Lepisosteus oculatus: one gene and its partners. The protein of the gene in region 4 purifies or fractionates together with the protein of the main gene of each other region. This does not show direct contact. Links are inferred from orthologs where the notes say so. Each region holds a gene or a part of one and is shown on either strand. Other genes may lie near its edges. The genes, in order: nuclear cap-binding protein subunit 1, mecp2, kif22 and kpna4.

Region 1 (7,906 bases), on a different chromosome or scaffold from region 4:
AACATGGACACTTCAAAGTATTGTGAAGGGCTTGTCAATATCCTAAGAATTATATTTACAAAATAGTTTCTGCTAAGACATGGTACAATCTGTCAAAATGCTGCTGAGGAAAACTCAAGTTTATAGCCTAAATAGAAGACAGTAATTTCTGAATTCTAAATTAGGATGTAATGTTGAATGGTTCGAGTACAATTTGGTACATCTTGACCTTTATTTAAAACACTAGATTTCCAACAAGTTGAAAGCAAAACAAGTATTTAGTAGAAACTAGATCTGAAACCTGCAGTTGAATACTCACTATTTTGCTCTCATAAAAGTTCCTGCAGTCCAACAAAATCGTGTCATTGCAAGATTCATATTTAGATAAAAAAGCTTCAACTTCCTTGTGAAACTCCTTTGGTTCTAAGTGGGTTCCTGCACAAAAATGAACACAGATTCAGAATAAAAAAAAAAATTTTACTCCCATTTTACATCCATAAATAGATACACTGCATTCACAAAGGATAAATAGATTTAGAAAAAAGGCTGTATGTTATATACATGTGTATATAATTGTATGTTGGTACAATTAACACAAAGCTTAAATAGCAATGAAACTTTTAAAGATGATCTTTGGCGTCTAGATCTAGAGATATTTGTTTAAACCAAATTTAAACCAAAATTCTAATGTATCTGCGAACAAGACTAGACAGCAAAAACATTTTTTTCTTTTTATATTTAAGGAGACAATAAATCTTGTCACCTTATAATAGCTGTATTTTAATATACTTACCGGCAAGCCTATAAGAGAGTATGTCTGGGTCCACCCCCATGGGGACTATTTCTTTAAACACTCCCACCTTCAGGTCCGGGAAGCAGTGAGCCCCACCCTCACTGGTCTGTCAAGGCACACAGTGTAACCTGGCACATGAGTGGTGAAATACTTGCTGACAAAAAACATCTAGGGCTCTTAACTTTGCAGGTAAAGAGGTCTTAAGGTCCATTGGTGCAAACAAGATGACACCCTTTGCCATAACAAATGGGTCTGATGGTGCAAATAAAGGCCCTTGTGCTTAAGAGGTCTCCAAATTCAATCATTTCAAAGCTTACCGCATAAGAATTAAGACAACCCAAATGCAAAAACCTTTGAAGAGCATATAACAGTTGAACATTTTTCATTTATGTACATTTCCGTTCTTGCTAAAATGCATGGTGAATATAAAAACATAGTTTTAAAAATAAATAATTGTTTCAGCTATTAAACCATGGGATGGATGAGAGCAGATGCTTACATCTCTGTAATAGCGATAAATAGTGAAAATGGATAATCAACATTTCGTGTAGTGTCAATTAAATTATATTTTACTCAATAATATTGATTTAAAATGTCATATATCCTGAGATGTTAAAAAAAACCTGCACAGAACACTGAGAAAACAGTGAATGCCTTTTTAGTCTAAATTAAACCCATTTGAGAGTGTGACTTGGCCTTACACCAGTTAAGTAATTCATCAATTAATTCACCACATGGAAACGTGTCCAGTTTCATATAAAAAGAACTGTGATTACAACCTTATCCCAGTTCTTTATCACCCTAAGATATGTTTTCACTCAATAAGCACATCATTAGAGGAGAAGTAGAAAACAAATTGATATCTTCTTACCTTGAAATCATCCAGGCACATGATTTTGAACACTGGGTGGGAAAGCATTGCCTTAATATATAATCCGGTAGCCACTTTGCTGCCTCCTACTGTTCCATTAATTCCTTCTGTGGCAACTCGAATCTACAGACAAATATAGACGTATGGACTTTGTATGAAAACAAACAGCAATGGCTTTGGGGTGTCAAAGGAGATGACTGAACGAGTGGGACCTGATCTAGTTATCTTGCAGTGAGGGCGCTCGGGATTTTTTCCTAATTACATCACAGAAGTGAATGAAATTTTTTGTGTCGCTTAACAGCCTTGAATGGTAGAAATAAAGGCACTTACAAGTTTAGAACTGGTAGGAAAAGGCACAGGACCAACATACACATACATATAGAGAACAACAAACACTACAGTACAGACTGAAGACAGTACTGAGTGAATTCAAGACCTGATCTCTTGGTATCTTCCTACCTTTGAACTATATCACCTTTGAACTGTGATATATTTTTATAGTGCTTACCCACCTGAACTATCTTCCTACCTTGCCTTTTAGGTGCAATTTTTGGCACAGTGCCTTCTGCCAAGCACAGATTAGGTGGGGTCCCTCCACTTCGCAATAGCAGTAATACAGCAGCACTTCACCTGGTCCCCTGGCCAGAAATAGGGGACAGAACCATGAAAATTCAATATATTCACAAACCAGAGTGACATTTTCACACTGTTTCATTATAACTGCAACAATCCAGACTCACCACCATGCAATAGTGTACGTCTTTCATGTTTTGTAAAACAAATTGGGCTTTTGAACTGTGATATATTTTTATAGTGCTTAAGAACAGAACCAAACATCTTTACCCATCAAGCTCTGCCTCGTTTAAGTAACTGATGTCCGGAAGCCAGAGCTGCATGTCCATTACTTCCACTGCCGCAGGTTGGGCTGACGTGTTGCACTCTTTCACATTGCCTCTGCTCCCCAGGAGCGTCAGTATGGCCTTTGTGTGTTCCTGAATCTCCAAATCATGTGCCCTGGCAACGTGCTTGTGGATGGAAGCAGGATCCTTGAAGGTTTGGTCGCAACACTGCCAGTGCTTGTCTGACTGAGCAGAACGCGAATCTGAACCAGATGCTGAAACTTTCTTCGAGTCCACAAAAGTGGCAAATGCCTTCAAAGAAAAATCACTCAAGTCACCCGTGTTGCATTTACTCGGATACGTCCTCACAGTGAGCATTCAAGCCTGCTCTTTACCACCATTTGCTTTGCTCAATGGAAAATATAATAATAATTACTACTTATGCGTGAGCTTAACAGTCTGTCAGTATGTTACTACATAACATGTTAAAACGTACAGTAAAACCACTTCAATTCAAATGAATTTTGTGTCCAAATCACTATATTCTCTCAACTTGCCATAAAAAACCTACGTCGCTGTGCATACAGTGAGCCAGTGTAGTCACAGAGGGGCGGTACATGAGGTCACTCGATCTCAGCAGCTCCAGAAAGGGCTTCAGTAAACTCTGTCATTATAGTTCTGTGACACTCCCTTGGTCATGGTAAAAAATGTTCTATCAATTCTTTGTGATTAAGTTTGCTAGTACAAGTGATCATGGAAATTACTGGATCCTTATTACCATTTTCTTAAATCAAGAAAACAAATTCTTCAATACTCAAGGGTTTAATATTCAAATATAAAATGATAATCTATTATGAAATGAATTTGTACAGCGACCTGTGTAGCTTTAAAGATGGAAGCTGCACATTGGTGGTGGTAGAGGAGAGTCCCCATTACCTGTAAAGAACTTGAGTGGAGTGTCCAGAAATGTTTTATATAAAATGTAAGAAATTATGAATTATTATGATAAAGATAAAAACAAAAAAGATCTCCCTTCCACACTAAGCAGTAAACCTGAAACCCACCATAAGTGAACATCTTACCCTTTTCTTTGCGTATGGAAACATTTTACGTAAGCTAGCTTCATTTGGGGCTTTTGAGATATTTGGAGTTTTGTTGGTAAAGTTCTCATCATCGAGCTCAGAAAACAACAGAGTGCCAGGTTCATCTTCAAGAATACCAGAGGCTGAAGACATTTTTGATGTTCAAATGGTCTCTTCAGCCTCCTGTAAGAGACAAGAGGAAGGTGAACAGAATTGCTGTTAGAACAGAAATAAAGATATTGCTTTGCCATGTAATAAGCCAAACCAGTCTATGTTAGAAAGGATTACATAAATCTGTGGATTTAATTAACATTCATTAAAAACAGATCACAATTTTAAAGAACTTAAGAAAACACAACCACAAAAAACACAACATCTAAAACATTATAAACAATAAAGCAATAACTTCGAATCTATAAAAAAGTAGTATTTTATTTAGCGCATAATTGTTGTTTCAGTTAATATAAACTGCGGGTAATTATCTGCACTGATTCTGGTTACAATATAATTCTTAATGCTAAGGGTTCCTTCTAAAAACAGCTTCTAAAAAGACATCCAAGATGACTTTCATGAAAGATAAAGGGCAATGGAACTGCAGCCTAAAAGTGAAACTGAATACCAAGAGAAAAGAATAAACAAATGTAAACCAGTAATTTATCCATTTATCCTGAAAGAACGGCACAAGGTAGGACTGAGAACACATCACAGGACCAGGTGTACAACACAGAAATTTCCAACAATTTACGTTTCCTCAACGTGTAAAAACGTTGCGTATAAATATAAATTATGAAACTTCGATTTTCAGTGTGCTTAACTTACTTTTCACGTTAACACATTGCAGAGCATCGTGTTTACTGAGGGGGTATCGTTTATTTTTATGTCTAACTTTGCACGTGTGAAGCACATATAATCAGAGACGGCAAAAAACCCAGAATCAGCTGTTTTATAATACCCTAATTATTCCGGGTCTTTTAGCCCAGAGTTCTCCATATAGTCTGTTCGTAGTACTTGATTCACATTAGATTAAGACAATATTTTTTCTGCCACCATACCACAAAACTACACATCTGTGTGTACACCATGCAACTACTCTCACTAATACAACTAAAATCTCGTAATCATCGTTTTACATCCTCTTTCACGTCTCGTCAGTTTTTAAAAAGGTAACCGAACAGAAAGAAATTGCAAAAGTTATAAAAACTCGTCACACCTTACAGCGTCAGCTCCTACGGAGGACAAATGGCATTACACGCCACTTTACTTGAACCAGGGAAGTGTTTCCTGTGACAGGCCGCCTGTCCTCCGGATGAGATTGTGTTCAACTTCAGCGCCATATTGCGGCGTTTGAGGCTGTGTGTGTGTGTAAGGAGCTGTTGTTTCTAGAGGCGTGTGGAGCGTTTTAACCTAGGCGGATTTCGCGCTGCAAGTACAAGATCAAGACGTTTGAATAAGGGGACCGACTGAACTCTGTTACATCTTTAGAGGATTTACCTTTATAATTAAATTAAAAAATGTCAAGGAGGCGGCACAGTGATGAGAATGATGGTAGGTGGTTTTTGTATTAGTTTTGCAATTGAGGCACTGTCCACTTTTGATACATGGCTGTCCACTATCGATCGATGTGCTGTGAAATTTTGTTGACGTCTCACCAAAGAAAGTGATGCAAAGCAGTTTTTAATTGAGAAAATCGTTATCGGTTATGATATGGCCGGTAATAAAATAAGCCTCGCTATTTTAGTAGGAAGTGAAAAAATAAGCAGAATGCCCATTTTTCCCATTTGGAGCGGTTAAATCGAACTTTGTAAAAGTTAATTGCTGTCTTTCTGATAATGTAATAATAAACTTATGAATTATTCATTTATAGTCGTGTGGAAATAGGTGCATAGAGATCAAAGCTACCGCTCATTCATTTAGGGTGCTTGAATACTTTCTATGGCAGATGTAATGTTTGATTCAAATGTTGCACTTCTGAGCGGGCTTTTTTCTTCCTGCAATACATTAGCTACTCCAAATAGCCCACAAATTACAGTTATCTGTATAGCATATGTATGAACATAAATACGGAAAACATTTGATAATGCAGAGTAGATTGAATGTTGCACATAGACTGTAGGCTACAGCTTTGTTTTCCTTGTGTGTCTAGTAACCAGGGACCGTAAGTAACTTTAAATTAACATGAGTTTTAAAATAATATATTTTTGAGAAGAATACATAAAGTTGTATGATGATTTAAACCACCTTTAATTGTTCTATTACATTTTCTTTTCCTTGTAATTTAAAAATAATTGCCTTGAGTAACATTTTGGCTCATTAAGTTTTTTCCCCCCCTTAGGTTAGCATTGCAATTAGAGCTTAAGTAATCTAACTGGGTCTTCTTGATATAATACAAAATTCTTCAGTTCAGATTTCTCTTGAGATTCTTTCTCCAAGGCAATCTATGTTCTCCTCGCTTTCTTTGAGCATATGCAACTTAGAATGTTGATAAGCATAATGTTTCATATAGTGCTCTTTCTAATAGGAGGGCAACCTCATAAACGGAGAAGAACATCAGAACCCATTGAAATCGAAGATCGTCTTGAGTCACTAATATGCAGAGTAGGCGAAAAGGTAATTTTTACACTTTTTTACAATTGAAATAACACTTTTAATTAATTAAGCTGGTAGTCGTACCATTTACTAATCACAAACTGGGCTTGTTTTTATCTGATAATTTACTTTCTTAAAACATGTTAACCTTTCTTTTCAAAATACTGCCTGCTCACAAGTTGAATGTCGTGGTATTTAAGAATATGGATTTACTGCATTTCCAAGCTTTTGTGAAGCGCTTCCTTACAGCATTGTGTGCATATTGCAGTGTTGTGTATATAACGTTTAGTGGAAACCTGAACTCGATGATCTAGTTAAAGTGTTCTCTGATATATTAGCACACCTAGCCTGTATGTTGCAAAGTGGCAGGTTTTTCAGCAAATCTAACATGGGATTGGATTTGTATCATAACTGTGCTTGAATGTGCCCATCCTTAGAGTACGTCTTCATTGGAAAGCAACTTAGAGGGCCTGGCAGGCGTCCTGGAGGCTGACCTTCCAAATTACAAGAGCAAAATTCTGCGTATCCTATGTGCTGTGTAAGTGTTGCCCTTTGTGTTTTAATTTAAACTTCCATACCTGTGTTTGTGTACTTAAAACATCTCACTGGACACTTTAGATATGCATATACAATATAACTTTGATATTCACAAGGTTTTGCAAAGTACTACATTCACAATTTGGCAGATAAACTAGTCACTAATAAATATCTGCATTTGTGTGGATGAACTTTATTACAGTAAAGTAGTGCTGTATTTATAATAGTAATAAAAACTGTAAAAAAAGGGAAGAAGATACGCTTTATTAAGAATGACAGAAACACTAATGCAGATTAGTTCAGGTGGGTAGCTGCGTCAGCATGTGTAGGCTGCAAAGGAACAAGTAATAGGTTTATTCCATGCTGAAAGAAGAAGAAAGAGAACACAACGTTTCGGCCGTGGAGCCTTCTTTGGGTGTGAGCCTTCTTCACACCTGAAGAAGGCTCCACGGCCAAAACGTTGTGTTTTCTTTCTTCTCTTTTCAGTGTGGAATAAACCTATTACTAATACAGAGTAAGCTGTAATGGTGATCTAATTTATTTGTTTACATTTGCAACAACTTGAAAACAATTTAGTTTACAGTTCATTTTCATTAAATACTTTTTACCGGTAGGTGCTGGCACTATTTCTGAAATTCTTAAGTTAAAAAAAAAACATTACTACAGAAATCCTCTTTTGACACGCTTCGCTGTCCTGTTTTCTCCATTAGGTGTTGCATTCCACATTCGCAAAATCATCATTCTTAGAGTCTTCAGTGTACCTAATGCTCATAAATACTGAGGTTTTGTTGTATGCTATACATATGTTAACAAAAATTTGTTAGATGGCTGAATTGCCTCCTTTCCTTCCTAATCTATCCTTATGTTCAAAGGATAATGGACTTGGATATCAAGGGGTAGATTTTCTTGACAGGCACGTATAACTTTATTGAGAAAGTTGATAGTTATTTTTATTCAGCTAGATTTCATAGCACTACATTTAGGTTTGATAAAGCAACCAGTGAAACGCTAACCCCAAAAACTCATAGGAAAAAATAATAAGTTTAGGGCATAAGATTAGATTGGCTAAATCCTGGAAATGTCTTTCTCAAAAACACTCAGAATCAAGTATGATCAATTTGCATTTTGTTGCAATTTGACAAGCTTTCATGTATGTCTCTGTGTAGGTGTTCTATGTTTAATGCTATGTATTGAGCCTGTTGTTTTATTATTAGGGCTC
Region 2 (7,475 bases), on a different chromosome or scaffold from region 4:
CACTCTGCTCTCCTCCCCACTGAGAGCTGCTGTGTGGGGAGAGGACTGGTGCACTATGGCTGCCGTCGCATCATCATTCTGGAGTGTCCAGAAAAGCGCTATAAAAGTATCAGGAATTATTTTCCGCTCAAAGCTGGGCTCTGGTAGGTGACTTAAAGCATCGAAAAGTGTATCCTGCCCTCTGGTGGACGTTACGGGGAACAGCAGGAGGAGTGATGTTTTTTTTTTTCCTTAGCGCTCATTTAATACGAGACCCGTATTGGAACAGTTGGGGAATTTGTAACGAATACGCGTTGCCTTCATTTGCAGTCACAGGAAACCATGAGCTATTTCAGTATTAATGGGAGCTCACATGGTGGTCGTCTAGAATGATTAAAGTTTCAGCGTTTTCATTTTGAATCTAAAGTAAATCGTTAGAGTAAATGCGTCACACGGTACAGGCAAGGAAATCAGACCCCCATTGCTCAGTAACCAGATCCACCTCAGGCCCCTGCAGTATCAGGAACTTGTGCTCATCCCACACCACGCTTCCCCACTTGCTTTGAGCACATTACAAAAACCGAAGGACCGGACCACGTGCGCATGCTTTTCAAACTACAAACAGGAGGCACTTCTTTACACGAAGAGTGGTGGAGGTCTGGTGCAAGCTACCCAGCCATGATGCGGAAGCCACAATTTTCTTTTTCTAGCAGGGAACAGCGGGGTGAGATGCTGGGATCGGTTAGCTACTAAACTACTGAGCTGGCTTGACGAGCCCAGTGTTTCCTCTCGTTTGTAAAAAAAAAACTATTTTCTGCTCTGCTACAGAACCAGGACCTTTTATTCGCCCAGTACAAGATAGACAAGGAATTTCTCTGGGCGCAGGCGTCGACATCAGTTCCAATAAGATAAAAGAGTAACAAAAAAGCAATCCACAGGTAAAGACAGATTTCAGTGATGTAGACAATTTAAAAGTCTATGCAGTTGATTAATACAGTGTACAGTGAATGCTGTGTATATTTACAGAAAGTATCAGTAGCGTGTGTCGTTAAATGAAAGAGTCATGGCCGGGGGGAGACACCATGCAGCTGTCGGTTAGTCCTGGTTTTTAGGGGTCCCCAGTGGTCTCTGCGGAGAGGGAACACGCTGGAAGAGAGAGGGGCCGGGGTGTGAGGGGTCGTCCTGGACAAGTACACAGCTCCTCGGCAGCTCGCCGTGATCGTCTAGTGCTCAGCACTCTGTGTTGTGGCCTCAACGACCCCGGGTCGAATCCGGGCCACGGCAGGTGTGAACCTGGCACAGCAGAGGAGTTCTCTTCGGGGCCGAGCGGCGGCTCTGTGGCTGAGGATCTGTGGCTGGAAGGTTGCCGGTTCAAATCCCGCGGCTGGCACAGGAATCCTACTCCATTGGGCCCCTGAGCCAGGCCCTTCACCCCAACTGCTCCAGGGGTGCCGTATAAATGGCTGACCCTGCGCTCTGACCCCCAGCTTCTCTCCCTTGTCTGTGTGTCTCATGGAGAGCAAGCTGGGGTCTGTGAAAAGACAAATTCCTAATGCAAGAAATTGCATACGACCAATAAAGTGATCTTATCTTATCTTAACTGCTGTGCAACAGGACTCTGAGCTCTCTCCCTGTCGCAAGAACACGAGGATCACCGGAGAGGTGGAGAGTGACAGGAGAAACAGCCAAGCAGGAACTCTGACCCCTCTAGAGAAGACAGTCCACCTCCAACTGGCTACAGAGGGCCCAACCACACAGCCTGTCTCCCTCGCGGAGCCCAGCTTTGGTCCTGCAGAGCCACAGTCCGACTGGCTGCCCTTCAATCAGCAGCTTGGCAGAGGACCGGTGTGTGTCACCATCACCCTACCAAGCGTAGAGGGTCAGTTAGTTCAGGAATGGGCAGATTCCTTGGTCCAGACAAAGTGGAGTATTTTTAAAGGACACCCAGAAAACCGGCTGGACTGTGGCTCTCTGTCCCGGCCACAGAACAGGCAGATGAATTCAGGAGAGGAAACAGGTTTCAGCACTTCTCACATCTGAACTGTTGGCAGTTCTAAGGGCGTTAGCGTCAGAGCAGGCACTTTTATTCAAAATGACTCATTAACAACCATTCTTGTCTAGGCACAGTTACGGCAGTTACAGTTAAACTGCTACAGGAATATAAAAAAACAACACAAACGAAACATCACAGACGACATCGCTCAGGGTTGCAGAAACTGCTGCTTTAAGGGTGACCATGCTGGACACTTGCTGGACAGGCCCAGGGCTGGCTGTGCTTGCTCTCGTTGGGACAGCCGTTCTGCTGTGATTGGACCCGACTGGACCCGCGCTCAGCGTTGAAGCGTGAGACAGACCTCCCAGAAGCTGCAGAAGGAAACGAGGCCTCCGGCGCCGGAAAAGGGAGGGACCGTTGTGCACGAGGACAGGGTCTGGAATTTCACATCCCAAGACGGCAGGTGAGGCCCGGATCAGTCCGCTCTCAGGTTCAGCTGCCCGTGTGAACAGAACAAAGCCCACTGCGTCTTTCAGAGATCTGAGCGATGTCGCATCAGTGTGTCTGCAGTGGTGTCCAGTCCTGGTCCAGGAGGGTCGGTCAGTGTGTCTGCAGTGATGTCCAGTCCTGGTCCTGCAGGGTCGGTCAGTGTGTCTGTAGGTGTTCCAGGTCTCCTTAAAGCAGCAGCACCAGCAGACTGACCAGCCCTCCGGGGGAAGGGGAGGACCGGTCTGGTCTGGTCTGGTCCAGTCCGGTCCGACTGAATCAAACGTCGCCCCTCCTGCCTGCAGTGTAACAGCATGTCTCATCGCTCTCCTGCCTTGAATTCCTTAATTCCCAGTCCACCTGCGTCTCCTGCAGGAGAGCCTCAGTCTTGGAGCGGCTCGGTTTAGGGGTCTCTGGGGTCTGCCACAGGTCCCCAAAATTCCCCTCCCCCCCGCTCTCTGCCTCTGGACCATTAAGGGGGAACCATCCATACTGTGGAAAAACGAGTGATTAGACTCGACCCCCCAAAACACAGAAGGCAGAAAAGCACCAGTGTGTGCTAGCCCCATGGGAACAGCATAAAATACCGAGAGCCCTCCCTTGAAATACCCAAAGTATATCATGAGGAACCCTGTCTAACTTTAGAGTGACACTTTAGGATAACCTTGACCAATCATGGCCTCCTTATAACCCCCCTCTCTGGACTGGCTTCATCACTCTGCTCTCCTCCCCACTGAGAGCTGGTGTGTGGGGGGAGGACTGGAGCATCATCCAGGTGGGGCTGCACACTGGTGGGGGTGGAGGGGATCCCCATTACCTGTACAGCGCTTTGAGTGGAGTGTCCAGAAAAGCGCTATAGAAGTGTAAGGAATTGTTATTAATCATTATGGATTTCACGGCGCCGGTGGCATACAGTACCCTGCTCGGACACCTCAGGTGCATTTTCATTCGATTTTATTGGAATGAACCAGCGAGCAGCGGTGTTTGGGCTCAGAAGGATTCTCTGCATTCGTCTGCATCACAGTCGACGCAGATTTGCGGTGTTTTCTGTACGCTGACACTGAAGGCACAAGCGGCTGTAGTCCCCTCGGAAAACGACCCACGACTGATCTACAGGCTCCTGCCCCACACCTCGGGGCAGTTTCCCGGAGAGCCTGTGTCTCGCTGTCGAGCCGCTTTCGCAGGGAGACGTGGAAGCCAGCAGGTGCTTTTCCCCTTCCATCAAACACTATCTGGGAAAATAATGCGCTAAACTACTCTTTTATTTATTTTAAAGTGTTTTTGACCCATACCGTCGTACAAGTCAACAAGAAAGTAACCTGTTTTATTTTATTTATTTTACTATAGCTACTTTACTTGCGTTCAAATCTACGTATTCTATTGCACAAGACGAGCTTCATCGCCAGCACAGCGGCCAGACTACCGCTGGACCGTGGTGGAAGACGTGCACAGGCGCGGAACAACTACACCTGCGCGCCGCAAGAGTTTCAGGAAACACCCAGCCTGCAAGAGAGCACAGACCCAAAGTGAAACTGCTGCGGCTGACCCGTTTTCAGAGCTGCGACAGTTCATGCTGCTGCGTTAGAAACAGTTTTCGCGGAAACGCGGCAGGATTTCTTCTTTTTGCGTCGTCTCGTCGGGACGCCCCTCTTTGGCTGCTGAAGGGCAGGGCAGCGCTGTCCCGTCCCCCCCCACCCTGAATTAAAAATGCCAGTTGAGCTAACGAACGATGTAATTAAATAAAAACCTGGTCTTTTCCTCGCCACCTCTGACCCTCATTCATTCCGAAAGCCGCGGCGACCGGACACACGAGGCGGCTGAACCCTCTCTCTCGCGCGCGCGCTGCAGGAGCTCGCGGCGACTCCCTCGCGTCCTCCGCGTGCGGGCCGCCTGGGATGGGCGTTCACTTCTGGTTTTTTTTTTTTTAAACGCTAACGGCCACTCCGCCGACCTGCCGCCGGTAGTTTCGAGAGAGAAAAAACACACACCTCGTTTTAATTTTCCTTTTAATCGTCCCACGCCCCCCGCCGCCGCGACAATGAGCCTTGCCTCGGGTACCGGTCCAATACGCCTCGTTCACCTCGAGGTGGGAGTGAAAGGGTAAGTTTATCCGTCGTATTTTTTATTTTTTTCCTGGGCGCTTTGGTATACTTTTCGAAAGGAGGAATTGGCCGGAGTTTTCCCACGTTCGTATTTTCAGCGAATAAAAAATCCCCCCCCCAAAAAAAAAAGTTATTTTCGAGGTTTGAAACCTGCCAGGTATCACTGCGGTAGGCGAAACACTCAACTCTTTTAACGCGGAGACTCAACTGTTCACGGGCGAGCTTCAGTTTATCGCTGTAAATTCCTTTAAAATCGGGGGGAAAACCCCCACAAAGACATACAATTCTGAATCTCCGTTTCGCACTTAAAGATGCTCGGTAATCACTTTTGTACAGCAATACGTTTTTTTCCGCTTTCTTAGCTTTGCTAGCTATTCAGTTTCAGTTTGGCTGTAAGCAGTCCGTACCGCCTGGGTCGTTTAGGAGATGAATGCGCTCCGGTGTCGGGATACACATTTTTATTGGCAAAAATGCGTCGCCGTTCACAATAACGTTGTCATTGTTCTGTACATGTTCAGTATAAGTCTAATGAACGGATGTCTTCAAAACCGTTTATCTGCGTTACTCAGAAAGCATTTAACACCATCTCCCTAAGCTGAAACAGTTTCACATGATTTCAAAAAGGGAGTATCCTGTGAATAATTCAACTCCTTTACCTCCTATGTATAAACAGAAGAATGTGAATACATGTTAGGGTTTCCTGTTGAGGATTTCTTTAAAACTTAGTTTGCGCCATTTCTCAAGTTTTACAATTAGCTTTTAGATTCACCGCTGAAATATGGAGCGACATTGTTCACTCTAGGTGTATAAAGTTTTCCCGCGGTTGTAATTTTAAATCGTACAAGGAAACAAAATAATAAACCTGCTACCTTTTCCGATAGACCATGAGTACTCATTCAAAAACTCGGGAATAATGAACCAACGACTGAGCTGAGTAAAAGCCAATCAGTTCGGGTTTTAGTGGACTTTCAAACGAAGAAGCTGCGCTCCAGACACCGCTGATGTTTGGACGGATCCGTTTCTTCGACCAATCGGAGCTGACTGGCATTTTTTTTAACCTATCAGCGCCTAGATAAGGCAATTGAGTGATTTTCTGGCAAGCCAATGACATTCACCGTAGATGAGTGTCGTTTCTCGTAGCCAATCAACGGCAGGACTTGGTCGTTGGGGGCGGGCTACTCCGGGGATCCTTTTCAGCGAGAGATTTTTGACTTCGCAGTTGCCATAGAGTTCTCGCGGGAACTCCGGGCCCCAGCCTGTAGTTTCCTATGGGCTAGATGGTGTAATCTCGCGAGAGCTACACTCACCGATGGGAGGGTGATGTGGGGAGGGGGGGGCTTCCAAAAGATGTGTAGTGAATTTTTTTATTTATTTATTTAAATATAAAAAATGGCCGCCGCAGAGAGCGGAGAGGAGAGACTGTAAGTGTGAATTAAAAATATTTCTCCCTGTGTCTTTTTAGATAAACGAGAAAGCAGTGGAGTCGTACAATGTGCACTATACAATTCTCTGTTTTAAAGAATTGCATATCTTCTTTGCTCACGGAAGGCGGGGTAAATACCCCATTAAAGGGGAGTATTTTCACCCGCTTTTTCATCTCAGTGGGGTGAGAAAATCAGTATTTGCGCGATTAGTACAGGGAAGAGGTGTGTGTGTTTATATGTGGTTATTTTTTATGTGTCTGTGAACTCAGTCCTGCATTGTTACGAATATTATTTTGCTTTATTGGTGTAGATTTCTACTTAATGCATTATTTTCCTAACTGCATCCCCACCCCCTTTGTAAGTAGAATTTAAAACACAGCTTTCTGTCTGTTTGGCTCTGAAAAGAAGTACACGGGAAGGACCGTGTTTTGATTTTCCTTTCCGTGCTGGTAACACTTTGAATAAAGGGTATGGGTGAGCTACTGGGCAGCTTTTCTCTGCGTATCAGAAAGTCCTGTGTGATTCGGCACCCTCACACAATGCGTATAAATAATGAACTTTTTGGATTTGAAAATGACACGCGATTAAATATGAGTCAAGATTGGTATTTTTTAACATGCAGCTGGGTGGTGTTTGTGTCGATGTTGACCGTTTTATAGGCAAGAAAAATGAAAGTGTATTTTGATTCCTGAACGTGTGTTCGTTTATGTGTATGGAGTGTGTTTTTTTCCTCCCTTGAAAAAGACCAGACTGGTGCACACGAGTCGATTATTACGTACAGCACAGATTAGATATATTTTAAACATTTAGACGAATCTATTGTTACAGTTGTCGGCACTGAAAGTTTTGTTTTAACAAGCTGTGTTTCTTAGAATTGGAAAAAGACACCTCTAGCTTCTCAAATACACTGAACAGGCTTGTTGCGTCATTTGTTATGCTAGGGGAAAAAACACTGGAGGTTAACATCTTTCTGCTATTAGCATTTCCGTTTCAAATCCGTGCTGTGTGCGATACAAATCCACGCGTATTTTTGTGTTTTAACCAGAAAAATGAAACGGCAGTTTCTGTCCTTGGAGGGGCTTAGATGGGCTTGGAACGATCCATCTGTCTGAACTGTGCAGTGTGTGATTTAACATTTTGCCACGACCAAAAAAAAAAAACACACAAATGCCCTTGTTTTTAAACTGAGAAATTTCAACTCGAAACGTCTAGGGAATAATTTTATGCGACATATCGAAGTGTGGTTTTGCTGATTATTGCTAAGAAACGCGGATGTGAGAGGTTTTATTGTCAGGATGCGGGATAAATACACCGGTGTACTTAGCATTTCAGCTCGAGTGGCGCCGCACACAGCCGTCTTCAAAGTGCGTCATTGTGTAGAAAGACGGTCATATTTTTGGGAAATGTTTTGTAAGGGGTGGGGGAAAAAGACGTGTTTGTGAAATATTATTTTTTCATTTCATATCTAAGAATTGTTCTTTTTTTAATTCA
Region 3 (7,563 bases), on a different chromosome or scaffold from region 4:
CCCGCCAGTCCAGACTCACCTGTCTCTCTCCCTCTCCTCCCTCTCTCTCCTCTCCCTCTCCTCCTGCCAGTCCAGACTCACCTGTCTCTCTCCCTCTCCTCCTGCCAGTCCAGACTCACCTGTCTCTCTCCCTCTCCTCCCTCTCTCTCCTCTCCCTCTCCTCCCGCCAGTCCAGACTCACCTGTCTCGCTCCCTCTCCTCCCGCCAGTCCAGACTCACCTGTCTCTCTCCCTCACCTCCCGCCAGTCCAGACTCACCTGTCTCTCTCCCTCTCCTCCTGCCAGTCCAGACTCACCTGTCTCTCTCCCTCTCCTCCCTCTCTCTCCTCTCCCTCTCCTCCCGCCAGTCCAGACTCACCTGTCTCTCTCCCTCTCCTCCCTCTCTCTCCTCTCCCTCTCCTCCTGCCAGTCCAGACTCACCTGTCTCTCTCCCTCTCCTCCTGCCAGTCCAGACTCACCTGTCTCTCTCCCTCTCCTCCCTCTCTCTCCTCTCCCTCTCCTCCTGCCAGTCCAGACTCACCTGTCTCTCTCCCTCTCCTCCCGGCAGTCCAGACTCACCTGGCTCTCTCCCTCTCCTCCTGCCAGTCCAGACTCACCTGTCTCTCTCCCTCTCCTCCCTCTCTTTCCTCTCCCTCTCCTCCTGCCAGTCCAGACTCACCTGTCTCTCTCCCTCTCCTCCTGCCAGTCCAGACTCACCTGTCTCTCTCCCTCTCCTCCTGCCAGTCCAGACTCACCTGTCTCTCTCCCTCTCCTCCCTCTCTCTCCTCTCCCTCTCCTCCTCCGAGTCCTCGCCGTCTCCCTCGGGGGAGCTGCTGTGCTCGGGGGTGGGGGGTCTGCGGGGCAGTGGGGGCAGGCTCAGCTCCAGGACGCCCCCCTGCGCGAGGATGCCGTACAGACGCTTGATCTCCTCTGGAGGGGGTGTCCAGTGCTCCGGGTCCTCGATCTCCTCGTCACTGCAGGGAACCCCCCACTCCTCCTTCTGCACTCTGTCCATCTCTCCACCTGGACCAGAGAGAGAGAGAGAGAGAGAGAGAGAGAGAGAGAGAGAGAGAGAGAGAGAGAGAGAGAGAGAGATTCTTACGCAATAAGAAGGAGGCTCTTCAACATCAACCCACCAACAAGAATCTGGCTCCAAATATTTGAAAGTGTAATCCAACCCATTGCCCTATACGGCAGTGAAGTTTGGGGTCCCCTCACAGACCAGGATTACACCCAATGGGACAAACACCCCACAGAAACTCTGCACATGGAGATCTGTAGAATCATCCTCCGTGTGCAGAGAAAAACTCCTAACAACGGGTGCAGGGCCGAATTAGGCCAGTACCCACTATTGATAAACATACAGAAAAGAATATTAAAGTATTGGCTACACCTAAAAAACAGCGACCAAAATTCCTACCACCACAAAGCCCTGCTCAGCCAAGAGCTGAGCCCAAAACAGAGCCCCCTGAGCCAGCTGGTCCTGAGGCTCACCGACCTGAGCCACACTGACACTAACCAGCCTCAGGACAGCACTGCTAGAGCACCACAACCCAGACTCAACCACATCACAGCACAGATCAAACAGCAATATCTCACACACTGGGACACACACACACAAACACAACATAAACTGGAATGCTACAGAACCTTAAACAGACAATACACACTAGCTGAATATTTGACCAAAATAAAAAATAACAAACAGAAACAGACCCTGACGAAGTACAGGCTCAGTGACCACAACCTGGCCATAGAAACTGGGCGACACAGGCAGACCTGGCTGCCCAGAGAGGACAGGCTGTGCTCCCACTGCCAGCAGGGAGAAATAGAGACAGAGGTGCACTTCCTACTGCACTGTGACAGATACTCTGGGATTAGAGAAACATTCTTCCCGAAATTCAGAAATCTAATCCCCGAGTTCCCACACCTGCCAAAACCACAACAGGTCCCAATCCTACTGGGAGAGGGAGGAGGGAACTCAGTTGATCTGGCAGCCCAGTATGTGATCTCCTGTCCCAGCCTGAGGAACAGTGAGTCCGTCTCCCAATAATGCTCCAGCCGCCTACAGTATATGTCAATATTATATAATATGTCTTTGTTGTAAATGTCTGTAACATGTCTGTAGATTTTATTTTACTTCTATTTTTTGTTTTGTTCTATGTTAATTTTATTATTTTTCTTTGCTTTGGCAACACTGATTGTACCCATCGGTCATGCTAATAAAGCATCTTGAATTGAATTGAATTGAGAGAGAGAGAGAGGGGGGTCACCACACACACAGTCTGGACACTGACACTGCACTGAGAGAGAGAGAGAGAGAGAGAGAGAGAGAGAGAGAGAGAGAGAGAGAGAGAGAGAGAGAGAGAGAGAGAGAGAGAGAGGTCACCACACACACAGTCTGGACACTGACACTGACACTGCACTGAGAGAGAGAGAGAGAGAGAGGTCACCACACACACAGTCTGGACACTGACACTGACACTGCACTGAGAGAGAGAGAGAGAGAGAGAGGTCACCACACACACAGTCTGGACACTGACACTGACACTGCACTGAGAGAGAGAGAGAGAGAGAGAGAGAGAGAGAGAGAGAGAGAGAGAGAGAGAGAGAGAGAGAGAGAGGTCACCACACACACACACTGGACAGAGAGAGAGGTCACCACACACACGCACGCAGCACACAGAACACTTTACCTTTATCTCCGTCCCTCTCTCCCTCTCCCTGCTGGGACTCCCCTGTCTCTCTGACACAATCTTCATCTTCCTCCTCCAGCTCTTCCTGCTCCTCTTTCTCCTCCTCTCCTCCGTCCTCAGCCTGCGCTGCTCTCTCTGGTCGCTCTCGCTCCCCAACACCCAGAGACTGGATCCCCTCTCTGAGGCAGGAGTCCGAGGACTCTGCAGACTGCATGAGTCTGAGAGAGAGAGGGGTTAATACAGACACTCCAGTACATGAACACTGCACTGAGAGAGAGAGGGGTTAATACACACACACTGACTGGACACTCCAGTACATTAACACTGCACTGAGAGAGAGAGGGGTTAATACAGATACACTGACTGGACACTCCAGTACATTAACACTGCACTGAGAGAGAGAGGGGTTAATACACACACACTGACTGGACACTCCAGTACATGAACACTGCACTGAGAGAGAGAGGGGTTAATACAGACACACACTGACTGGACATTCCAGTACATTAACACTGCACTGAGAGAGAGGGGGGTTAATACACACACACTGACTGGACACTCCAGTACATTAACACTGCACTGAGAGAGAGGGGGGTTCATACAGACACACTGACTGGACACTCCAGTACATTAACACTTCACTGAGAGAGAGAGAGAGAGAGAGAGAGAGGGGTTAATACAGACACACTGACTGGACACTCCAGTACATTAACACTGCACTGAGAGAGAGGGGTTAATACAGACACACTGACTGGACACTCCAGTACATTAACACTTCACTGAGAGAGAGAGAGAGAGAGAGAGGGGTTAATACAGACACACTGACTGGACACTCCAGTACATTAACACTGCACTGAGAGAGAGGGGTTCATACAGACACACTGACTGGACACTCCAGTACATGAACACTGCACTGAGAGAGAGAGGGGTTCATACAGACACACTGACTGGACACTCCAGTACATTAACACTGCACTGAGAGAGAGAGGGGTTCATACACACACACTGACTGGACACTCCAGTACATTAACACTGCACTGAGAGAGAGAGGGGTTCATACACACACACTGACTGGACACTCCAGTACATTAACACTGCACTGAGAGAGAGAGGGGTTAATACAGACACACTGACTGGACACTCCAGTACATTAACACTGCACTGAGAGAGAGAGGGGTTCATACACACACACTGACTGGACACTCCAGTACATTAACACTGCACTGAGAGAGAGGGGTTCATACACACACACTGACTGGACACTCCAGTACATTAACACTGCACTGAGAGAGAGAGGGGTTCATACAGACACACTGATATTTACCGTTCTCTATCTTCCAAGTACTAAAACAGCGCCGAAGACACTGAGTTGAAGACAAACATGGGACGAGAACTCCAGAGATGGTGATGGCGCAGGATACGATAAATCGACAGTGTTACAACAGGTGAAATTCATGGGTCAATTCAACCCGCCGCGAAGAACGTTTCCAACCTTCGGCGCCTAGTATCCACTGTAAACAAAGCGCCATCTTGGGCCACTTCCTCTTCCGGTTTCCGTCTGTCGTTCCTCTACTTCCGGCCCAGACGTGCGCTCACTCGCTCAATCCCGATTGGCCCGGTTGGTTAAAGACTCTTGTGATTGGTCTCCTTTGAAAGTTGGGTGGGCTCTTATGTCGTGGACGCTACTGCCTCAGCGATTTCACAGATCCGCGACCAATCACAGTCTAAGCCTTCCCGACGCCCCAGCCAAGCACAGCCCCCGGGTCTCTTTCTAACCCCGCCCACTGGAGGTGGCATCTTCATCGCCTCACCCAATCGCAGCTCGCCCTCCTTTCGCTTGCGTGACGTCAGGCCCTTCGGCGGGCGCTGATTGGTGGGATCGCCTGCCGCGAGGCCCCGAGCCCGCAGGTTTGAAAATCCTGTAACGGCCCGTGTTTGTGTGCGGCCCGCGGAGCCGCGCTGTGTCCGGTTTTTCTCTGTGTTTCTCCTGGGTTCATTTCACCTCCTCCACCCGTACCTGTACCCGAGGGACTGAAGCCACGCCGGGAGAGTTTGGAGCCGAGGTTCGGTAAGAGGCCGGCCGGTTCCGATCCGGGGTCGGGGTCGGGGAGTGAATTTCGGTGACCGGGCCGGGCCGGAGGATGAATTCACTCCGAGAAACTGCTTTATTTCTTCTTTTGGGGTTTCTTATTCTTATTTCTTCTTATTTTGGAGTATCTTTATTTCTATGTGGCTTTTTTTTTTGAGAAAAGGGGCTTCTCGGAGCGCTTTAGGGAACAACGGCAAAACAAACAAAACAAGAAACCCGCTCTGAGCCGGTGTCCGTCCGGCGCAGTCACACACACCCTGCACAGAGCAGGACTGAGGTCACACCCCTCAGGCCGGGGGGCTCTCTGGTACCCCTGGGGTACAGCAGGAGAAGCCCCTGCCACCCCCAGAGTGAAGACAGTCTTGGGGGACAGACAGGAGAGCAGAATTAGACGATGTGGATGAGCTCAGGCTGGGGGGCTCTCTGACACCCCTGGGGATACAGCTCCTGAGTGTTGGGGCGCAGCAGGAGAAGCCCCTGTCACCCCCAGAGTGTAGACAGTCTTGGGGGACAGACAGGAGAGCAGAATTAGACGATGTGAACGAGCTCAGGCTGGGGGGCTCTCTGACACCCCTGGGGATACAGCTCCTGAGTGTTGGGGCGCAGCAGGAGACGCCCCTGTCACCCCCAGAGTGTCGACAGTCTTGGGGGACAGACAGGAGAGCAGAATTAGACGATGTGGAAGAGCTCAGGCTGGGGGGCTCTCTGATACCCCTGGGGATACAGCTCCTGAGTGTTGGGGTGCAGCAGGAGAAGTCCCTGTCACCCCCAGAGTGTCGACAGTCTTGGGGGACAGACAGGAGAGCAGAATTAGACGATGTGGACAAGCTCAGGCTGGGGGGCTCTCTGACATCCCTGGGGATACAGCTCCTGAGTGTTGGGGTGCAGCAGGAGAAGTCCCTGTCACCCCCAGAGTGTCGACAGTCTTGGGGGACAGACAGGAGAGCAGAATTAGACGATGTGGACGAGCTCAGGCTGGGGGGCTCTCTGACACCCCTGGGGATACAGCTCCTGGGGTTCGGGGGCGCAGCAGGAGAAGCCCACACTCTGAGAGCAGGCTCAGAGGAGTGGGGGCGCAGGACGAGAGCAGCTCAGACAGGTACTGAGGCGTTGAGCCGTGCAGAGTCTTACAGGTGAGCAGGAGGATCTGGGCCTGGACATGAAACCAGACAGGAAGCCAGTGCAGGGGCTCCAGGACAGGAGTGATGGGATCGCCTGCACTGGACCCGGACAGGACTCTGGACAGACTGGGGTTTGTTCAGGGTGGATTCAGAAACCCCCAGCGAGTGGAGTGTTACAGTGGTCAGTTCTAGTGTTGACCAGTAACGGTTAACGTCGGGCAATATTTCTGAGTGGAAGAAGGAGGTTTTTACCCTCGTGCCCTCGTGCTCGCGCGCACAGGCTCGCGCAAACGTGCCCTCGTGCTCACACAAACATGCACTTGTGTACACTTGTGCCCTCGCCCTGTAGACTGACTGGGTCACAACCGCGGTCCGGTCCGGCCCGGTCTGCCGCTCTGGCGAAGGCATGCCCTCAGCGCCCCTCTCCCCTCCCCAGGTCGCCATGGCGCTGCCTCAGAGGGTTGCCGCGGGCGAGGCGGGGGCGTCACGGCGCCCCCCCCCTGCCCGCCTGCGGGTGGCCGTGCGCCTGCGCCCCTTCATGTCCGCAGAGGACGAGAAGAAAGAGGGGCCGTGTGTGAGGGCTGCTGGGACACAGGGCCTGGAGATCGTCAACTGGAGGAACACGAACGAGACGCTGCACTACCAGTGAGTCCGAGAGAGAGAGACGGGAGCTGTCTGTGTGTCTGTGTGTCTGTGTGTCTGTGTGTCTGTGTGTCTGTGTGTCTGTGTGTCTGTGTGTCTGTGTGTCTGTGTGTCTGTGTGTCTGTGTGTCTTGTGTGTGCCTTGTGTGTCTGTGTGTGTGACAGAGACAGGGGCCACCCCTGACGCTCAGCTCTGCTGCAGGTTTGACATTCTCCACGGGGACAGGAGCTCTCAGCAGGAGGTCTACCTCTCCTCCGTCAGGCCTGTGCTCCCCTTCCTGCTGGCCGGACAGAACGCCAGCGTCTTCGCCTACGGGCCCACGGGGGCAGGTCAGTGTGTGTCTCCTGTCCCCCAGTCCCTCTGTACCCCTCTCCTGCTGCCCTGACCCCTGACCCCCTGTCTTTCCCTCTGCTGCTTCCCTGACCCCTGTCTCCCCCTCTCCTGCTGTCCTGTCTCTCTTCACCCCCAAACCCCCTCTCCTGCTGCCCTGACCCCTGACCCCCTGTCTCTCCCTCTGCTGCTTCCCTGACCCCTGTCTCCCCCTCTCCTGCTGTCCTGTCTCTCTTCACCCCCAAACCCCCTCTCCTGCTGCCCTGACCCCTGACCCCCTGTCTCTCCCTCTGCTGCTTCCCTGACCCCTGACCCCCTGTCTCCCCCTCTCCTGCTGTCCTGTCTCTCTTCACCCCCAAACCCCCTCTCCTGCTGCCCTGACCCCTGACCCCCTGTCTCTCCCTCTGCTGCTTCCCTGACCCCTGACCCCCTGTCTCCCCCTCTCCTGCTGTCCTGTCTCTCTTCACCCCCAAACCCCCTCTCCTGCTGCCCTGACCCCTGACCCCCTGTCTCTCCCTCTCCTGCTGTCCTGTCTCTCTTCACCCCCAAACCCCCTCTCCTGCTGCCCTGACCCCTGACCCCCCTCTCCTGGTGTCCTGTCTCTCTGACCCCTGACCCCTGACCCCTGCAGGGAAGACCCACACCATGCTGGGCAGCGCTGAGCAGCCTGGGATCATCCCGCGAGCCGTCAGGGAGCTCTTCCAGCT
Region 4 (7,207 bases):
AAAGTTTTTACTGCTTCTGCTTCTGTAGGGGTAGCTGTGAACAAAAGGAAAGCCTGTATACAATCCCCCTGAACTATACCTGGTCTTCAGAAGAAACTGAACCAGGTTGATGACGTTAATAAAAACATCTGTGTCTGTTTTCATAATATACTGAGCGCGGGGACAGAATTCATACATCCAGTGGAAGGCCATCCTTGTTTTCAATGTAAGGTTTTCGTATGTGTCTAGAAAGTCTTGCATGATCAAATCCCTGAAAAGAAAATGCTCCTCTTCCAGTGATAACCGTGGCTTAACCGCTGTCTCCTTTTCTCTACCCAGTAAAAATAACGTTAGAATATATTTCCCCTGCAAATATCTCTTACTGCCCCAGGAAGCTCTGATGGCCATTCTGTGCTCTACTCTGCCTGGTGTGGACGCAACGAAAATGACCAGAAAGGGAACTTTGTGTTTACACATAGAAATCTTAGGCAGCAGAAAGGGTAAACAGGGCCTTCTGACTGGTTCGCTTTCGTAAAAATACAGCCAGTTGATTCCCTGGTTTAAAGCCTTGTTGCTGGAATAGGTGGTGTTTGAGGCCAGACTTCGGTTTATAATTAACAACATCAACGTAAGCATAGTAAAAATGAGTCCAAGAAACAACGTTTTAAGAAACATGTGTTTCATTGCATTGATTCAGACTCGGTTAGTTTTTTTTAAGCGAAAATCCATGTTGCCCTGCGGCGGACTGCTGAACCAGTCCAGGTCCAGAGGTGTATTCTGCCTTGCTCCCGCTGCTTGCCGGGATAGGCTCCAGCTCCCCTGCGACCCTGTGTTGGATAAGGCGGTTAGAAAACGATTGGATGAATGGAAAATAAATGGTAATATATGAAGTTTCTACCTTATGTTTGCTCGCATCTTCAGTGCATATATAATCTGGAAACGATCAAAATAAAACTGAACTATTAATCTGCTTTAATACATAGTTTTAAATAGAGTGAGAAAGGTAATCTTGTGTATCTCCCGATCGTTTTACACAATGGGACATTACACGTGGAAATCCAAGCTAAATGTTATTCCACATTTTGCAATAAATGCATCTCAGTAATGAAGATGCAGAGATATGGCACGCCGACTTAAACCATTACTTTCTGATTTCGGCCTTTACTATAAGTTATCATATCTCGAAGGCTATACTTTTGTGTAAAAGCAAGATAATTCAATTTTGACAGGAAATACCCTCGTTTGATAGTTGAACAATACAAAGGCTTTCAGAACTTTTATACAATTAAAAAAAAGATACGTATGTGGGTGAAAAAAATGTTTTCTCCATGCCTATATTCTATATTTTTACATCTGTATCTTTGAAATTTACCTTTTAAGAAAGCAGGGAGAAAGCAGAACGCTCGGGACGCTTTTAAATAGAAATAATGAGATTTTTCCAAGAGGATCAGCCACCCAAAAAGATTGCATCTACCCTGGTCAAAGTATGCACGTACAGTAAACGTAATGAAGATTAGGGGGAATGCCAATAAATTTAGAAAGTAAACAAAACGACCAGAACGAAAATGACGTCTTAGCTACAGTACAGTTTTTAACTTACCATCTGCAAACCTGAAAAAGATCTTGGAAAGCTGAAGGAATCTTCTCGATTCGTCTCCCGCAATGGTATCCAAAGAGACGATTTGAATATCGCGTAGATTTTTTTAAATGAAGAAATTAATATATTTAAAAGCCTAAAACGCTGACACCAGTTACAAAAATTTGCATTTTCTAAGGTATCAAAGGGGTTTTCAGCGAAATTCATTTAGAAGTATTTGACTTTCTAGCTTACGTAAAAGAAAGAGTTAAAGAATTTAAAACAATTCAAGTCAAGTAAAAGAGATGCAAGTGTTTTTTTAGATTAGCATCTGATGTAGTCATATAATCGTATTGATTCTTCGTGTAAGGTTTCGCCTACACTTGACGGCGTACATGTACCTCCTATTCTTGGTAACGCAATAACAGGTGAGTCTGCGCTTGTGAAAGGAGGTTCCCGCAGCGGGGTGTGGATTTGTGAAACAGGTTAGGGCAGCCTTAACGTACAGTACAATTTACAACTAGGCTGTATGCTTCGTAAACCATATCAGTCTCGTATACTGTGGCGACGTGTGACTATAGGTGGTCTCAATTCGGAGCAATTTGGACTTTTTGGTCGTATCTTGAATTGTAAAATCATCGTCAGCAGCCACATCACCCTGCAACCCACAACTGGCAACCCACTGAAGCTAAGCAGGTGTGAGCCTGGTCCTGGATGGGAGACCTCCCGGGAAAAGAATAGGGGTGTAACCCCGGCGTCCTGGCCAAATTTCCCATTGGCCCTTACCAATCATGCCCTCCTAATAAGCCCCCTCTGGCGCACTATGGCTGCTGTCGCATCATCCAGGTGGATGCTGCACATTGGAGGTGGTGGAGGGGAGTCCCCATTACCTGTAAAGCGCTTTGAGTGGAGTGTCCAGAAAAGCGCTATGTAAGTGTGAGCTATTATTATTGTTAATTGTCCCTTCAAAACTGGGACATCCTCGAATAATAAGGTTTTGGATACAAGCTGTATTTTGACAGCTTTGAATTGATTCCCAAACTGCAGGACAAGCGAGGATGCACACCTCCTGTCGACAGGTCCTTGGCACGCACCTCTCCATCCCTGGATTAGGCTTGTAATAGACCCTGACAGCGAATTCGTGTCGAATGGGATGCTCATTGGACGCGTTATTACGGGCGCCCGCTCCGAGTGGCCAGAAAGTAAAGCGCATCGTCACTGCGAGCGCACGTAGTCGGGTTTCCAAGCGGGGTCGGCGATGGGCCTCGGTGGACCCCAGTCACAGAAAGCTGGCAGTGTTTCTGAGCTCCAACAGTCTGAAGCATATTTGAGGTGCGATTCTACACGATTTAATTCCAGGTAATGTGAAACTGATGAACAAATTGAAATAAGATTGATTCCAGTAGACATGAATATTACTGATGTCCGGGTCATATTTTGCCTAATTCTCAGGTTTTACTTTAACAGTACCCTCACATTCATAAAAATACATCAACTCTTTACCTAAGACGCACCTCCTCAGTGACCTATTTATGCCACAAGAGGACACTTTCATCTCTAAATTGTTACAAGAATTCTGTTTTTTTTTTAATTATAAGAAACTGCATATATAATAACAACTTCTACATTCAGATCAAAACAGTCGCACATGTATTTTGGAATCTGTGCAATAGACTAATGGATGTGGACATGAAAAGTATTTTACACAAAAGTGTGAACTACAATTATCGTTTCAAAGTCTCTAACAGGAAGGAAAATGCTTCATATATATATTGCAAAAAGCTGAATGCTTTATTAAATAAAAATATTTACAGATACAAAAGCAAATGCTGCTAATTGTTGGTTAATTAATTTAATAATTCAGAAGGGGAATAACAGAGCTGTCAGGATATGTTCCAGCAAAACACCAAATTGAACAGAATTTCTATTGTAACGCTTACGGCCGACAAGCACTGTGTGTAAGATCACCGCCCTTCCCTGTGATAGCAGGACCACAGCTACTGGGCTGTGGAGAGATCTCTCTTTAGCTCACAGGGCTAGGTCGCTGCAGAGAGACACGGAAGTCCCGGGTTCGAGCCTCCAGTCGGGATGGGGCCGACCAGATGCGGCAAGGGCGCCCGCCGGAGCCCCCGTTGCGTTACAATATATTCAATAGGATATTCAATAGGAAGATCAATAATAATCAAATGTTTCTAATCATAGAACTGCTAATAAGCTATAATACCACTTCATTATAAACTTAATATTTATGCATTTAATGACATTTAAAAATGCTACAAGGTACCATGCAAGGTATCATATCATGACATCAACACTAACAGCCTATTTTACTACATTATTCCTGTTACAGTCTGGTGCATTGCAGCATAGTTTCTTTGAGGAAAAGGCCGATTCGAATACTAATTTTAATTCGTATTTTTATGTACCCTATAAAACACGTAGCTATATGTAGCTCGTATGCCTTTTTTTTATATCCATGAAAACCAAAGTGCAAGCTGGAATTTATTGCGCTTTATTGTAATTACCGCTGACGAGCGCGTCTCCGAGCACGCGTATTGAAATTAAATTTCCCTCGCTCGCCGACCAATCCGTGACGACAAAGGCCCGCCCCTCCTCCGCCGCGGCCAGAGCGAGGCTGGGCCTGTACCGGCATTCCCACAACCCCCTGCGAGGAAGCCAGAGAAAAGAGTCCGGTAACTGGAGGGGCTGAGAGAAAAGAAACACACGAAAGAGATACGTCGCCCAAATCATAGTAATTACAAATACATATTTTTTTTTCCCCCAACATGGCCGACAACGAGAAACTGGATAATCAGCGGCTGAAGAATTTCAAAAACAAGGGCCGGGATTTGGAGGTATTTGTTTTCTTCTTGACTTTTTCGGTGTGCCTCTCTCTCTCTCTTTTTGGCGAGTCTGTGTGTGTTATTTTGTTTCAGGTTCCGCTGTGACGTCTTTAGTAATTTCCAGGATCTCGAAGTTTGCACCCAGCCCAAGCCAGGCCCCAGCTCCCTGCGGCTTCGACCGAGGCCTAATTCAGCCCCAGCGCTGGGCAGATCGCTCCCTGCCCAGCACGCAAAACTTCGGGGCAGGGATTCAGGGGCTGGGAGGCAGGCCAGGCCGGGGCTCGCTTACTGGGCTCCGCAAACGCCTTTGTTTTTTTTTTATGACTGGAAGAAGCTGGGTATGGTGGTGTGCTGCTCTACCCCCGAAGCTTATTCCGGGGCTGTTGGGAGCTTCTCTGCTAAAGCGAAAGTGTTACTTGGTGCGTCTTTTGTGGAGTTGATTTTTTTTTCCCTTCCTTCTCTCCGCGTGGTTGGAGTTGTTTGGATGTGGCGAAACACGAACAACGATTGATCTAACCCACAAAACTTCCCAAACGTCTGTTTCTAGATCTCTTAAAAAAATAATTCCACGGCGTTCTAGTCTGCAGTCCTTCGTTACCACCCAAGTTAAGAAATATTACGTTCTGGGTAACGTTCTTATTTTTGTTTCCTTTTCTAAAGTCGATATTATATAGCATTGAAAATTGGAAGTCATGTGCTTCTTTTTCCAAAACTTAAAGGAAATCTCTTGAGAACGTGAACTATCTGGTAGATGTTACATAATACTAAGCGGCCCAACACGTCCTAACGTGAGAAAAGAGACGAAGTCTTTCTTTTTTTTCATCTGGTAAAGCAGTTTCCTTGTTGACGCATCAGGCTTTACTTCTGGATCAGACTCCAACATTTGGACTTTTAAATTTTGGTCTTCTGTACTTAATAATGCAAAGGAACATACACAGATCTGTACGGAGGCATGAATATAATGTTCAGACCTTTGTCAGTTTTGGCCAAAACGTCCAATAGTCTGAGCGGACTGTATTTCTACATATATAGGACCATTTAAGATTCTGTGAAGTTCATCATTTCACTTTCCTTAATTGCCACTCAGCCACCCTTTTCATAAAAAAGAAATGAATATAGCTGTGCTGCACCTTTTGTTTTTTTATTTTATAAAGCAATTAAAATGATTGAGGACCATACTCTAAAACATGAGCCATCTAAGCATCTGTATTTGTATTCATTTAGGTTGTTCTACCATTTATTTAAAATTTGACATGCTGTTGCAGGTCTTTATACTTGATTTAAAATGTCTGAGTGTCCCACCCTACATTAATCACCATTAGGATTTCTGAAGATATTTCATGCTTTCAAGCACATCATTTTTCTTCTTTCCTATTAATTCTAGTCTTGGGATAGTGAAATAAAGTGCCCCACCCCTTTTCTGTAAAACATAAACCTGAATCCAGTGCGTTACTGTTAACATCATAGGGATCCACAGTCATGGAGCCGAACTCAAAGTAATAAAATCAGTATCAGTGCTGGCCAGTTGTGAAGTCATACTGAAGGTTTTAGAAATGTCTTGAATGTTACTGTGCTTTTGTGTGCTCAGTGCTGTCCTGTGCCTTGTGGATTAAATTCCAGAGGCGTGTGAGGGATTTCTAAGCTTAAGCCCTGAGTGAACTGCCCCTTCCTGCTACATTACTCACTGCATATGGTATGAAATTGGCTAACTGTGTTACGCTGAAATGCTGTCACATTGCACAGTAAACCATTGTTAAATCCTGGACTCTCTCCAGTGGGCTGTTTTTTTTTAATGAAGAAGGTTTTTTAACCTGAAGAAGGCTCCACGGCCGAAACGTTGTGTTCTCTTTCTTCTTTTTTTCAGCATGGAATAAACCTATTACTTGTTCCTTTGCAGCCTACGCATGCTGACGCAGCTACCCACCTGTTTTTTAATGTTGTCACACTTGATAACCATGTTGTCCTGTACTGTTCTCTGGGTGTGTCACTGAGGTATCACAAGTATTCAAAATGTACAAGGGTGGGAGGTCATTTTAATACTTCATTGCATACTAGAAGCTCCTTTCATCATTTCCAAAAAGTTGTATGTAACTGTTGGAGTGACTACATTTGTCTTAGTAGTCCCTCTGAGAATGTCAGATCTTTCAGATGAGTAGAATATTAAATGTTTTTGTATTTTCCCCCTTATCCAGACAATGAGAAGACAGAGGAATGAGGTGGTTGTGGAACTTCGCAAGGTATTGATTTTCTGATTCATCAGAAGTTTCGTAGTAGCCCTTAACTTTTACAATGTTCATTTGTAATCTAATTGTTTTGGATATGCAATGACGTGTAACTTTTGAATTGGAGATTTGTTTATTAAAATGTGAATGTAATGTTTAGTAACTTTAAAAGTTGAAAGGTATTACTGTCTGTTGAACTCAGTAAGAGCTCAGGCTATATTCTAAAAATGCACAAAATCTGTATGCATTTGAAATTCATTCAATCAAAACTCACAAGCTTTTTTTGTCATTTGTTGTTACTGACACATCTGATTCATAGAATAAGAGAGATGAACACTTACTGAAAAGGAGAAATGTCCCTCATGAAGATATTTGTGATGACTCTGATGTAGATGGCGATTACAGAGTGGTAAGGATTGCTGTTGGTGTCTTCCATGTAAAAGTAAATAGTTTTTCAAAAACTGAAAATGCTAAACTGGTTGCATTCATTACAAACAATTGCTACCCAACTCATTGTGGTGTACCAGTTTTAATTTATTTTAAGCATGTAATTTAATATTTTCATTTTTATTCAATTCTGCATTGGG

What was found.
Region 1: the proteins of kpna4 (region 4) and nuclear cap-binding protein subunit 1 purify together in Homo sapiens (co-immunoprecipitation; 3 studies listed by BioGRID and IntAct, with this or other methods). This does not show direct contact. The link is inferred for Lepisosteus oculatus from reciprocal best matches to the Homo sapiens genes KPNA4 and NCBP1.
Region 2: the proteins of kpna4 (region 4) and mecp2 purify together in Homo sapiens (affinity purification with mass spectrometry; 3 studies listed by BioGRID and IntAct, counting the BioPlex papers as one, with this or other methods). This does not show direct contact. The link is inferred for Lepisosteus oculatus from reciprocal best matches to the Homo sapiens genes KPNA4 and MECP2.
Region 3: the proteins of kpna4 (region 4) and kif22 purify together in Homo sapiens (affinity purification with mass spectrometry; 3 studies listed by BioGRID and IntAct, counting the BioPlex papers as one, with this or other methods). This does not show direct contact. The link is inferred for Lepisosteus oculatus from reciprocal best matches to the Homo sapiens genes KPNA4 and KIF22.

The regions. Positions count from the first base shown.
Region 1 is NC_090696.1:29,818,652-29,826,557, forward strand, and holds the start of nuclear cap-binding protein subunit 1, read left to right. Parts: upstream 1-4,898; 5' UTR 4,899-5,075; coding exon 5,076-5,109; intron 5,110-6,082; coding exon 6,083-6,171; intron 6,172-6,587; coding exon 6,588-6,688; intron 6,689-7,906. Other genes in the region: thiosulfate sulfurtransferase/rhodanese-like domain-containing protein 2, read right to left, coding at 299-414, 773-878, 1,644-1,766, 2,173-2,281, 2,487-2,794, 3,565-3,717. UniProt on the Homo sapiens protein: Component of the cap-binding complex (CBC), which binds cotranscriptionally to the 5'-cap of pre-mRNAs and is involved in various processes such as pre-mRNA splicing, translation regulation, nonsense-mediated mRNA decay, RNA-mediated gene silencing (RNAi) by microRNAs (miRNAs) and mRNA export.
Region 2 is NC_090697.1:75,512,633-75,520,107, reverse strand, and holds the start of mecp2 (methyl-CpG-binding protein 2), read left to right. Parts: upstream 1-4,474; 5' UTR 4,475-4,496; coding exon 4,497-4,558; intron 4,559-5,949; coding exon of another isoform or gene 5,950-5,981; intron 5,982-7,475. UniProt on the Homo sapiens protein: Chromosomal protein that binds to methylated DNA. It can bind specifically to a single methyl-CpG pair. It is not influenced by sequences flanking the methyl-CpGs.
Region 3 is NC_090699.1:2,406,914-2,414,476, forward strand, and holds the start of kif22 (kinesin-like protein KIF22), read left to right. Parts: upstream 1-4,556; 5' UTR 4,557-4,742; intron 4,743-6,320; 5' UTR 6,321-6,326; coding exon 6,327-6,529; intron 6,530-6,727; coding exon 6,728-6,855; intron 6,856-7,487; coding exon 7,488-7,563. UniProt on the Homo sapiens protein: Kinesin family member that is involved in spindle formation and the movements of chromosomes during mitosis and meiosis. Binds to microtubules and to DNA. Plays a role in congression of laterally attached chromosomes in NDC80-depleted cells.
Region 4 is NC_090708.1:5,989,289-5,996,495, forward strand, and holds the start of kpna4 (importin subunit alpha-3), read left to right. Parts: upstream 1-4,201; 5' UTR 4,202-4,341; coding exon 4,342-4,410; intron 4,411-6,590; coding exon 6,591-6,635; intron 6,636-6,939; coding exon 6,940-7,029; intron 7,030-7,207. Other genes in the region: UDP-GalNAc:beta-1,3-N-acetylgalactosaminyltransferase 1, read right to left, coding at 1-663. UniProt on the Homo sapiens protein: Functions in nuclear protein import as an adapter protein for nuclear receptor KPNB1. Binds specifically and directly to substrates containing either a simple or bipartite NLS motif.